3 linked regions of the Callithrix jacchus genome follow. The main gene of each other region encodes a partner of the protein of the gene in region 2 in a complex. Links are inferred from orthologs where the notes say so. Each region holds a gene or a part of one and is shown on either strand. Other genes may lie near its edges. The genes, in order: DROSHA, DGCR8 and ERH.

Region 1 (3,647 bases), on a different chromosome or scaffold from region 2:
TTTCCTTGTATAAATGAAAATGCACTACTGGACCCTTCTGGTTTGGTTGCCATGCCAAATGGAAAATGACTGTGCCTGGGCCCCTGAGGTTCATTAAGAAATACACACGTGTGGCTTACCTGCTCCGCTCGTAGCTGCGGTGGCGAGACGGCGTTCTCCCTCGGTCATAGTCAGATCTGTAGCGGCTGTCTTGTCTTCTCCTGTCAGGACTGCGGCCTCGCTCCCGGCGATCCAGGGACCGATGCCTCTCACCTCGCCCATGACTATGATCTCGGTGCCTGTGATCATCGTAGTGTTTCAGCCTTTCTGGGGACCTTCTCTCACTGGGAGCCTTTGGAAGTGGGTATGGAGGGAGGTGTCTGAAATGAGGACTATTGCTGTTGTTAGCACTGGGCAGGAAGGAACTAGGGTTGTTCTGGAAACTATTAAAACTGGGAGGTGGGAAGTTGTGATGAGAATAGCCTGGGGGGTACTGGTAATTAACCTGCTGCGGCATGACCGGAGGGGGCGGAGGATGAGGCATGGAAGGAGGGGGCATCATGAAGGGGAAAGTGCCTTGTCCAGGAGGTGCCCCAGGGACTGGGGGGTTATTAGGACAGGGCATTGGTGGTGGCATGGGAGGAAAGCAAGGAGGAACTGGGAAGGGGTGCCTCATCTGGTGGTTGGGGAAAGGGGGCCTGATTGGGCAGGGGGGAAGAGGGCCTTGTGCTGACGGAGGCATAGGTGGGGGGAAGGGTACAAAGTCCGGTCGTGGAGGCAAAAAATTGGGGGCTGGAGAGTTTGAGAAAGTGGTGGAAGGGGCACTTGGAGGTTCATATTGATATTGCACAGGAGGCTGCTGAGGGTGAAGCAGCCTCAGATTCTGGGGCCTAAAGGATGGTGCTGAGGGTCTGGCTCCATGTCCTCCTCGTCCTCGGGGACATCCTCGTCCTGGGTGGAATGACATTCTGTGACTTCATGGTGGAAAAAAAAAAAAAAGGAAGTTTTTTTTTTTAATCCTCACTGTGTTAACAGCATTTCATAAATGCCTGACCATCTTCATGAGCAACTCAAAGACTCCCTAGTGAAGGCACTGGAATATTCCATCCATTCAATACTGGGTTCCTGCTAACATCTGAAACCCTTTAAGGTCAATAAACTCCTCTTCCCCTTTCTTGACCACCCAACCCACTGCCATGCTTAGTCCCTGGAACAACCATTCCTGAAAGCTGCTCCACTTCCAAAATGAGCAATTCAACATCCCATTATTCAACCATTTGCTATCATGCCTTTGCTCAAGTTGCCCTCTGATCTTGACCTCACCATAGGCGGTCCCAAGCACATCTGCACCAGCATCTTCCCATCTTCACCTCCCTCTCCATTCAGCACAGACTCCACTGCCCAGCATCGGCATCTCCATGATTCATTTTTAATACCCTACACTCCTCTGCCCTGCTCTACTTCAGTCACAAGAAGCTGGCAATACCCCAGCCCTCAAAGAACCCAATAATTTGCTTTCTGGAGGCTGACCAGAAAGTAGTACTATAGAAAAATACCTGACTGGGCAGGGTGGTGGCCAAAGAAATTCATGATCACTGGCTTCTGCCAACCCATTCCTCTGGCATGGTGAACTACCCACCATAACTACTGATAACATTCAGGACCCTGCCCCATATCCCATTCTCTCTTCACAGTCAACACATAACTAGTCTCCTACCAAACAGAAACACAAAAACCATCAGAAAAGAACTCCTTCAGCTTCTCCTACCATTTCTACAATGGATCCCATTCCAGCCTCTCCCAATTCCCTCCTCCTGACAAAGCCTATCCTGCCACAAGTGCTCTGGATCCCATCTCCAAATGCATATTTGGGATTACCACCCTCCCACTGCAATCTTCCACCTCTCCCCACCACCAGACCCTTCACATCAGCATTTGAAAGTGCTTGGGTTTACTCCAGCATAAAGTACTGTCCTTGGTCTCCAGGTTTCCCTTGTCTTTGCCCCTTCTGTGTCCTCCCCTTCACAGTCAAATGACCAGAAAAAGTGGCTGCAGACTGAATGTTTCTGTCCACCCGAAAATTCATGCTGAGGAAACCCTAATACCCTACGGGTGTCCACCCCAAAATTCATGCCGAGAAAACCCTAACGCCCAGTGTGATGCTATATAGAAGTGGGAAATCTGAGATGCAACTATGATGCGATTAGTACCCTTACAGAGAGAGGAAGAGAAAAGAAATCCCCGCCACCACCCCTTGCCAAGTGAGACTACAACAAGAAGGCAGCCACCTACAAGGCAGGAAGAGGGCGTGCATCCGAAACCTGGCTGTGCGGGCACCCTGATCTTGGACTGCCAGCCTCCAGAACTGTGAGAAATAAGTGTTTACTGCTTAAGTTACCCAGTCCATGGCATTTAGTCATGGCAGCCCAAGCTAAGACAAAAGCGTATACACTTCCAACTCACTCTAATCCAACTTCAGCTTCTGCCACCAATCCAATGAGTGTCATGATCAGTGTTCACCTCGTCTTGAAAACCAAAGGTCATTTTCAATCAACTTGCTTGATCTCTGTTGGATCAGTCCAGTTTCCTCCCCGCTTGCCTCTCCAGCCCCCACCCCCATGGATGCATTTCTTGGCTTCCTGACATAACACCCTCACTGTGGCTTTCCTACATCTCTGGCTGTTCCTCATGCCAGCTTCTCCTCTGCTAGGGGGCCTTTAACAGTCTGGTATTCTTCAGGGGTCTAGCCCAGGTGCTCTGCTCGCTCTCTCTTCCAAAGTGACACTACCTACCCACATTGCTAGAATTACCACCAATCTGTCAGTAACTCCCAAAGTTACATCTTTAGCCCCCAACTTCTGAGCTCCAGACCCTCACTACTAATTGCCAACCTGATCTCTCTCCTTGAGTGTCTCACTGACTCTGCAAATTCAACATAACATATGCTAAAACAAATTAATTACCTTTCCCTCCAAGACAAACATTTGCTCTTTTCCTAGTATTTCCTATTTCAATAAATGACACCATTAATGGTTCTTAAGACATATACCAGGGAATCAATCACCTGACTTGTCCTCCCTCACCCCCCATCCTTAGCTAAAATTTTATTTTAAAATTGCTATCACTTATATGGCAACTATCCCTTAATAAAAAATAAACAAAAATTCCTATTGTTTCTGCTTCATAAATACTTCCTGAATTAATCTACTTCACATCATCATCTCTTGCATAACTATTACAATAATATCCTTGCTGGCCTTTCTACAACCCTGTCACTGCCCCCAACGATTCGTTAGGTTCCTTGTTCTCACAACACTCTCTGTTGCTTCTTAGCAGGTCCTACAATAATTACAATCCACCTACTAAGGACCTAATTCCACCTTTAATGTCTACTGCACCTCAGAACTGTAAGGGCTATCAAGGCAGGCTCTGGGATTTCCATTAACAGTTCTGGTCTGGCTTTCTAGCCCTGTGCATGGCCCTCTGTTGTACTGTGCCCACTGCTGAAAGAACGGGCATATTATCCTGTCTCCCCAAGTATCTAAATCCTTTCCACCCTCTATAGGCCAGCACCAATGTTTGTTCCTCTCTCTGTTCTCCTAACTACTGCCATTCCCATCACAACACTCACCATGTACTGCCTTGCATCATGATGCACTGCCTGGATA
Region 2 (3,647 bases):
TCTTCCGAGTCTCCTCCTGAAAGAACAACAAAGGCCAGGGGTGCCGCTGAGGTGGGCTCAGTAGAGGATTGGGAGGGCACAGGGTGGAGGGGGAGCCCAGAAGACTCAGGAGGCCCTGCAGCCCCAAGGGCACCAGTGCTTGTGATGCCAGGCTGGGAGGAACAGGCAAGGCCTGAGGCAGGCCATGCTGAGTCTGCAGCCTGGAGGCCCCCTAGATTGCCATCAGAGCATGGTGTGTGCAGCCTCCCTGGTAATCGGGACACATACCAAGAAGTGAAGAATTTTGGGTGCAGTTACAATGACAGGCCAGGCCTTCCCACTAGGTGTTTCTCCCTTGCCCAACCTTTGCTTCCCTCAGGCCCAGCCAGGGGCACTGTGTCCTGTGCCTGCTGCCCTCCAGCCCCACAGACCCTCTTCTGACTAGGGGCAGACCAGGCAGTCTCACTGGCTCCAGGAGGCCAAGCCCCACCCCAGGGAGCAGCGAGGGACCTGCTGGCCTGGACGGCAGCAGACACCTTCTAGGACTATCACTCAGGCTAGGGGACTACCACACTTAAGAAAGCTCCCCACAAAGAAGGCCCAGGTGGGCGGGTCATGCTGTGGCCACACAGATGATACCTGAGGACAGAAGACAACACTACCAGCCTGACAGGCCGCTCTTGGAGTGCAGTTCCCAAAGGTGGCTGTAGGAGGCTTCATCAGGACCAAGCCCTACAGATTCTACCTTGGCAGGCACACTGACCTATCTCCAAAAACCCAGTGTAGACATGGGACCCAGGAGGCCCACCAAGGCCGTGACCTTCATGGTCCACCAGGCTGGCCTGCCAGCTCTCTAACAACAGAACCAAAACTGAAGTGACTTGTGAAACTCATACATGTTGAAGCTCAAAACCAAGCCTGTATCTGATTTTGGAAGGAGGATCCAAGCATTTCCAAGGTGTCCGCTCAGGCACAGGTCCTGGGGTCTACTGTCCCTCCACAGCTGCCACAGGAATGGCCATGGCCGGGAAGCCCTCCGCTAGGGTGGCACTCACCCTCTCCTCGGCCAGCCTCTTCATCTCCTCCTGGAGCTTGCTGAGGATGTGCAGGTTGGGCTTGTTCTTCTTAGCATACTGCTGCAGCTCAATCACGCTCTTGTCCGACGTCTCCTGGGAAGCACAGCACCTCACACTCAGACTGCAGGTTATAGCTCCGTGGCCTGCCCCCTGCCCAGCAGCTGTATGCCTGGGACCCTGAAGGCAGGTGCTCCCAGGGCCTGGCAGACACGAAACAGCCAGGAGCTATGGCCACACGACTGCAGGCTGATTGCCCGTCTCAGTGATGCCAGGCCTGCTGACAGCAGCAGAGGACAAGGGGCAGTCCATAGCCACTGGGCTTACTTTCTGCCCTGGGCAGAGCAGGGAGGTCAGGTGCTCATAGTACTCAGAGCCCTCATCAAGGAGAGAAACCAGAGCACGGCTGCAGCCAGGAGGAACAGCACACTGGCAGAACAGCTGCAGCCCATCCCGGCAGCCCCCGGCCCTGAGCTCACTCTCTGCACATTCCGTGACTGCAGAGCAGCATCAGGCTGGCCTCAGCCCCTTCCTATCTCAGGCCAGCCCCGAGGGTGCTACAGTTCCGCGGGATGCCAGCATTCCCCACAGCTGTGGCTGTGCCAGGCTGGGACTTTTCCACTCCTGCTTAGAGAAGTTTCCCACCCTGGGGCCCAAGTAAGGCTTGCCTTCTCTCCCTCCGTCAGAGCCAAGGACTACACACAGCAAAGGCAGAAGCAAACACTACCTACATTTCCAACTTGCTTCCCAAAAATGTCTCTCCTCAAGTTGCTTAACACGCCCTGGTGGCCTGCATAGACGCCCTCACCCTTGGACACAGGGTCTACCCACCACACAGTCCTAGGGCCACCCCACATGCAGCCCCCACCCCTCCACATCTACTTCCCATTCCACTGACCAAGATGGCCAGAACCCAGAGAGCTTCTATAGTCATTTGGGGGAAATGAGGAAGGTGAACACTCACCTCCCCATGTTTCCCTCCACCCCTAAGGAGCGAGCGAGCACTGGAGTACATTGCAAGATCTTGGCCAGAACAGCAGAAACAAGACAGATGGCACACATATGCTCTTTTAGAGCTGGACTGGCACTAGTACCAGGGACAGCTGCCCTGACACACTCGCTCTCCTTCAAGCAGGAAGGACTGGGCCTGGCACCTGAGCCTTTGCACACCTCCAGGCCGGGCCTGCCCAGCGCTGCCTTGCACTTCAGCCATCTCCCTATGACCCACATAGCTGGGCCCAGGTTGCGTTCCCAATCACCCACACTTCACTGACCATTCCCAGCAGACTGGGATGGGAGATGTAGCTGGGATGACCCCACCCCCTGCCCACAAAACCACACAAGTAGCCCAGGAGAAAGGCAGCTGTAAGCAAGAGCAGAGCTGCCCAGCCCTGCCCCTCTGAGCACAGAGCCCCAGTAACACACTCCAGGGTGGCAGTACAGGCTGCCCTGCGACCTGATGAGGGCCAGTTACCTGCTTGACCATCTTGCTGCTCTCACGGCCATACATGCGCAGTAAAGACCCCCAGTTCTTGACATGTGGGTGCAGCAGCTGAAGGATCTTCTGTGAGGCTAACTGCTTTCCAACTCTTTTGTTCTTACCTACACAGAGAAAGAGCAAGCTTGGAGAGAAGGGGTCATCAACACCCAGTGCTCATGGGACACCCCTAGCCCTCCTGATCCACACCCCGATGGCCAGCCAGGGCACATTTTACAGGAACAGACAGCACTCTGCCACTGCTCTAGGCACCTGAGTCTCACAGCACCCAGCTGCCACCTTGAGAGTGGCCCCTAAGAGTCCAGGAGCTGAGAGCACAACCAAAGACACACAGCCAAGAGCTTCACTCCCGCCAAGACACAGGGAGCAGCAGGATTCTGCTGGCTGTCTGAGGAGAAGGGCCTTTCCTCCTGCCACAGGGACAGGGGCTGGCCAAAGAGAGGGGTGACAGGAGGGGAAGGGAGAAGACAGAAAAAGTACAGGCAGGACAGCCACCAGTCCACCTTAGGCTGAATGTGTGGTGGCCAGCACACATAGCTGGACTTAGGGACGATGCCAGAGCAACAGCTGGGAGCAAGCCAGAGAGGCACAGGGCCACACCAGGGGCAACCCGCCTGGCATCACCCCCCGGCAGCCACCAGGCAGCAGGGAAGGAGTCCTTACACCACCCTCGCACTGTGTGCTTGCCACACGCCATGACGTATTCACTCTTCTGGTTTTTCCCAGGAACCACTTCAAACTTGATAGACGTGTCACCCATTCCATGGTTTCTTTAAGAAAAAACAGAAAACAGGTGGCATCCCCTGAGCAGAGCAGCCAGTGGCCTCTGAGGAGGGCTGCTCTGGGAAGCCCTTAAAGGCTGAGGAAAAAAGCAAGCCTCTCCCCAGAATGCTTCTTACCCGGAGGAAATTGTCCACACACCCAATTCAGGCCTGCAGGACTGACTGGTGGCCAGGGCCACAGGGCTGCTGTATACCCAGGGAAACCCGGCCATGCCTCTGCCTTGGGACAAACAGCCACGAGGATACGAGATGCCAAAGAGGAGCTCCCCCACCTGACTCGGGAGGGAAGGCGGCCCCCTACCCTACCTTTTAAGG
Region 3 (3,647 bases), on a different chromosome or scaffold from region 2:
CTATATCAATTAGCAAAGTTCTTTTTTTTCTGTGCCTTTGGCTTTATATTGCCAATATCTTATTTCTGTAAGAGAAATATTAATTACTAAACATTATGCAAATGCAAAGATCAGTGTCAGGCATGTGTTAGCTCCCAATACCATAAATCACCTCAAACAGACAGAAAAACATTAAAAAACACAAGATAACAGACATGTTTGCTAATACTTACACCAGGCAGCTGAGGTCTGCCAGATCATCAATGAAATCAAACAACTGACTGATGTCATATGTGATAGAAGGACTGTTGGGATTCATTCTTTTCAGATGTTCTTCATACATTTTACAAACGCCTAAGGAAGGATAGGACAAAAACCAAAATCTTACAATCACATAAACTTCTAGATATGAGTAGTGCTATATGTCGATATCATATTTACTTTAATAAAGTTGGGCTGGGGAAAAGATGGTAGATTGATGGCTTTTGATTATTGCCACTAGCAAATAGTTTTTTATAAATTCAGCCGGCCGGGTGCAGTAGCTTATGCCTGTAATCTCAGCACTTTGGAAGGCTGAGCAGGAGGATCACTTGAGCCTAGCAGTTTAAGACCAGCCTGCCTGGGCAACATAGAGAGACCTCATGTCTACAAAAATTTAAAACTCAGCCAGGCATGATGGCATGTGCCTGTGGTCCCAGCTACTTGGGAAGCTGAGGTGGGAGGATCACTTGAGCCCTGGAGGTCAAGGCTGCAGTAAGCCATGTCCGCATCACTGCACTCCAGTCTTCACCACAATGGTGGTGTAACTATTTTGTGTCTTAATAATAAAATGATTACTTCAAACCATTGGAGCTAAGGGTCAGTAATTCTTTCTGAAGCCAAAAAAAAAAAAAAAAAAAAACCACATTAGAAATTGGCAACAAAGAAAGAGATTATTCTAATGTGGTTATTTAATCATTCTATTGTAGCAATGTGGTAATTTAAGTCCAAGTAATCCTGGACTATGGATGCAGACAGACTTGAGTTCCAGCTCTGCTTCTGTCAAACCGTGGACAAATGACTCCATTCCCTAAACCACACCTGTCAAACAGAGTTAAGAGTGCCTCTTCATAGAATTGTGAGGTTTATTTGAAATAATGCACATAAAGCATCAGCACACAAACAAGCATGTAAGTACTCAAAATAATAAAAAAGATGAGCAGAATCATTAATAGCAAGCCCACATTACTAACTATAATTATCTATAGAGTACATTATCTATTAAGTTTTTATTCAATGATATTCTCCTTTCTTATTCCCACAAAAGGAGAATATATCTTTTCAGTCTATCCCCGCTGTCAACTATTTAAGACTACCACAATGAATGGATAAGTGACATAAATGCTAGTTATCTAGCAAATACACGTCCTATACTGTGTACAGTACAAAGGCCCTTTATTAGCTCCAAATTAACCTTTTAAATTTCCTAATAAAAATACTATTCAACCACAGAACTATCAAACAACTATCTTAGTGTTTTTGATCGCTACTGGCATACTACACTGTGATCACAGAATATCAAACATGAGTTAATAAATGGAAAGAAAAAACTAGGAAAATAAATTCACATGTCTTAAAAGGAATTGACCCATAGTTAGCATCATACTTTTTTTTTTTAAGACGGAATTTCCACTCTTGTCACCCAGGCTGGAGTGCAGTGGTGCAATCTTGGCTCACTGCAGCCTCTGCCTCCCGGGTTCAAGCGACTCTCCTGCCTCAGCCTCCCGAATAGCTGGGATCACAGGCGTGTGCCACCATGCCTAGCTGATTTTTGTATTTTTAGTAGAGAGAGGGTTTCACCATGTTGGCCAGTCTGGTCTCTAAGTCCTGACTGCAGGTAATCTACCTGCCTCAGCCTCCCAAAGTGCTGGGATTACAGGCGTGAGCCACTGCGCCTGGCCTCCATCACACTTAATGGTTAAAGACTGGATGCTTTACTGCTAAGATTAGGAAGAATCCTAAAATATTTACTGTTGCTACTTGTATTCAACGTTGTAATAGAAGTTCTAGCCGGGCAATTAGGCAAGAAAAAGAGAAAACAGGACTTTAGATTGGAAGAAGTACAGCTATCACTATTTGCAGATAATCTACATTATCTTGTAGATAGAAAATCCCAAGGAAACAATAAGAAACCTATTAGAATTAAAAAATGAGTACGGCAAGGGTGCAGGATATAGGATCAGTGTATGAAAATAAATTCTGTTTCTACACCTTAGCAAATCTGAAAATCAAACTAAGAAAACTTCATTTATAACAGCATAAAAAAGAATAAAGTTCTTAGAAATAAATGTAACATAATAAAAGAAATGCACAACTTGTACATGCTACACTATAAAATGTCACGGAACAATTTTTTTTTTTTTTTTAAATCCTGAGACAGGGTCTCATTCTGTCGCCCAGGCTGGAGTGCAGTGGCCTGATTACAGCTCACTGCTGACTTGACCTCTCAAGTTCAAGTGATCTTCCCAAGGAGCTGGGACTACAGTTAGCGCCACCATGCCCAGCTAATTTTTATACTTTTTGTAAAGCAGGGATTTCATCACGTTGCCCAGGCTAGTCTCAAACTCCTGGGCTCAAGCAATCCGCTCACCTTGGCCTCCCACAGTCCTAGGATGACAGGTGTGAACACATTCCCATGTTCATGGGTTGGAAGACCTGATGGCAATACTCCCCTAAATGATCTACAGATTCGATGCAATTCTTATACAAATCCAAGCTGCTTTTGCAAAAACCAACAAGCTAATCCTAAACTTGACACAGAAATGCAGGAGACCCAGGAAACTCAAACTTATCTTGAAGAACAACAACACTGGAGGATTCAAACTTCCTGATTTCAAAACTTACTAGGAAACTACTGTAATCAAGACAATGTGGTACTGGCATAAGGAAAGGTATATAGATCAACGGAATGAGAGTCTAGAAACAAACCCCCACATTGATGGTCAATGCTTTTTGACAAGCATGAGAATTCAAGAAAGAATGTTCTTTTCAACAAATGGCCCTATGACAACTGGATAGCCACATGTGAAAGAATGAAGTTGGACACATCCCTAAAACAGACCAAAGACCTAAAAGTAGGAGCCCAAACTCTAAGCCCCACAGAAAAAAGTAGGCTGGGTGCAGTCGCTCTCACCTGTGGTCAGGAGTTCGAGACCAGCCTGGCAAACATGGTGAAATCCAGTCTCTACTAAAAATATAAAAATCAGCTGGGTGTGGTGGCACACACCTGTAATCCCAGCTACTTGGGAGTCCGAGGCAGGAGAATCACTCGAACCTGGGAGGCGGAGGTTGCAGTGAGCTGTGGTTGCACCACTGCACTCCAGTCTGGGCAACAGAGTGAGACTCCACCTCAAAAAAAAAAAAAAGAAATGGGAGAAAATATTTGTAAACTATGCATCTAGAATCTAAGTCATTCAAACAACTCAACCAGAAAAGAACAAATGGTTCCATTCAAAAGTGGCCAAAGGATATAAGCAGACATTTTTCAAAAGAAGTGGTTAACACATGAAAAAATGATCATCAAACTAATCATCAGAGAAATGCAAATTAAAACCACAATGAGATACCATCTTTCATCAATTAGGATAGCTATTATTAAAAAGTAAAAAAAATGGGCAGGTGCAGTGGCT

The links.
Region 1: the proteins of DGCR8 (region 2) and DROSHA are in contact, whole or in part, in a crystal structure (PDB 5B16), measured with the Homo sapiens proteins. The link is inferred for Callithrix jacchus from reciprocal best matches to the Homo sapiens genes DGCR8 and DROSHA. Residues at the interface, in NP_073557.3 of Homo sapiens: Asn728, Ile731, Leu732, Lys734, Leu735, Gln736, Glu738, Met739, Lys740, Leu742, Ala743, Arg746, Arg750; in NP_001369437.1 of Homo sapiens: Leu984, Leu987, Phe988, Thr998, Tyr999, Thr1001, Ala1002, Ile1003, Gln1005, His1008, Phe1069, Asp1073, Leu1074, Glu1076, Val1077, Trp1078, Asn1080, Pro1082.
Region 3: the proteins of DGCR8 (region 2) and ERH are in contact, whole or in part, in a crystal structure (PDB 7CNC), measured with the Homo sapiens proteins. The link is inferred for Callithrix jacchus from reciprocal best matches to the Homo sapiens genes DGCR8 and ERH. Residues at the interface, in NP_073557.3 of Homo sapiens: Lys107, Phe108, Ser109, Pro110, Asp111, Leu112, Leu114, Leu115; in NP_004441.1 of Homo sapiens: Val8, Pro10, Thr11, Thr18, Tyr19, Ala20, Glu27, Lys34, Met35, His39, Arg42, Met43, Phe60, Leu64.

What each region holds. Positions count from the first base shown.
Region 1 is NC_133503.1:173,760,984-173,764,630, reverse strand, and holds part of DROSHA (ribonuclease 3), read right to left. Parts: 5' UTR 3,631-3,647; coding exon 3,611-3,630; intron 954-3,610; coding exon 120-953; intron 1-119. UniProt on the Homo sapiens protein: Ribonuclease III double-stranded (ds) RNA-specific endoribonuclease that is involved in the initial step of microRNA (miRNA) biogenesis.
Region 2 is NC_133502.1:211,882,039-211,885,685, reverse strand, and holds part of DGCR8 (microprocessor complex subunit DGCR8), read right to left. Parts: coding exon 3,639-3,647; intron 3,321-3,638; coding exon 3,214-3,320; intron 2,655-3,213; coding exon 2,527-2,654; intron 1,149-2,526; coding exon 1,035-1,148; intron 17-1,034; coding exon 1-16.
Region 3 is NC_133509.1:104,385,925-104,389,571, forward strand, and holds part of ERH (enhancer of rudimentary homolog), read right to left. Parts: intron 334-3,647; coding exon 213-333; intron 1-212. UniProt on the Homo sapiens protein: May have a role in the cell cycle.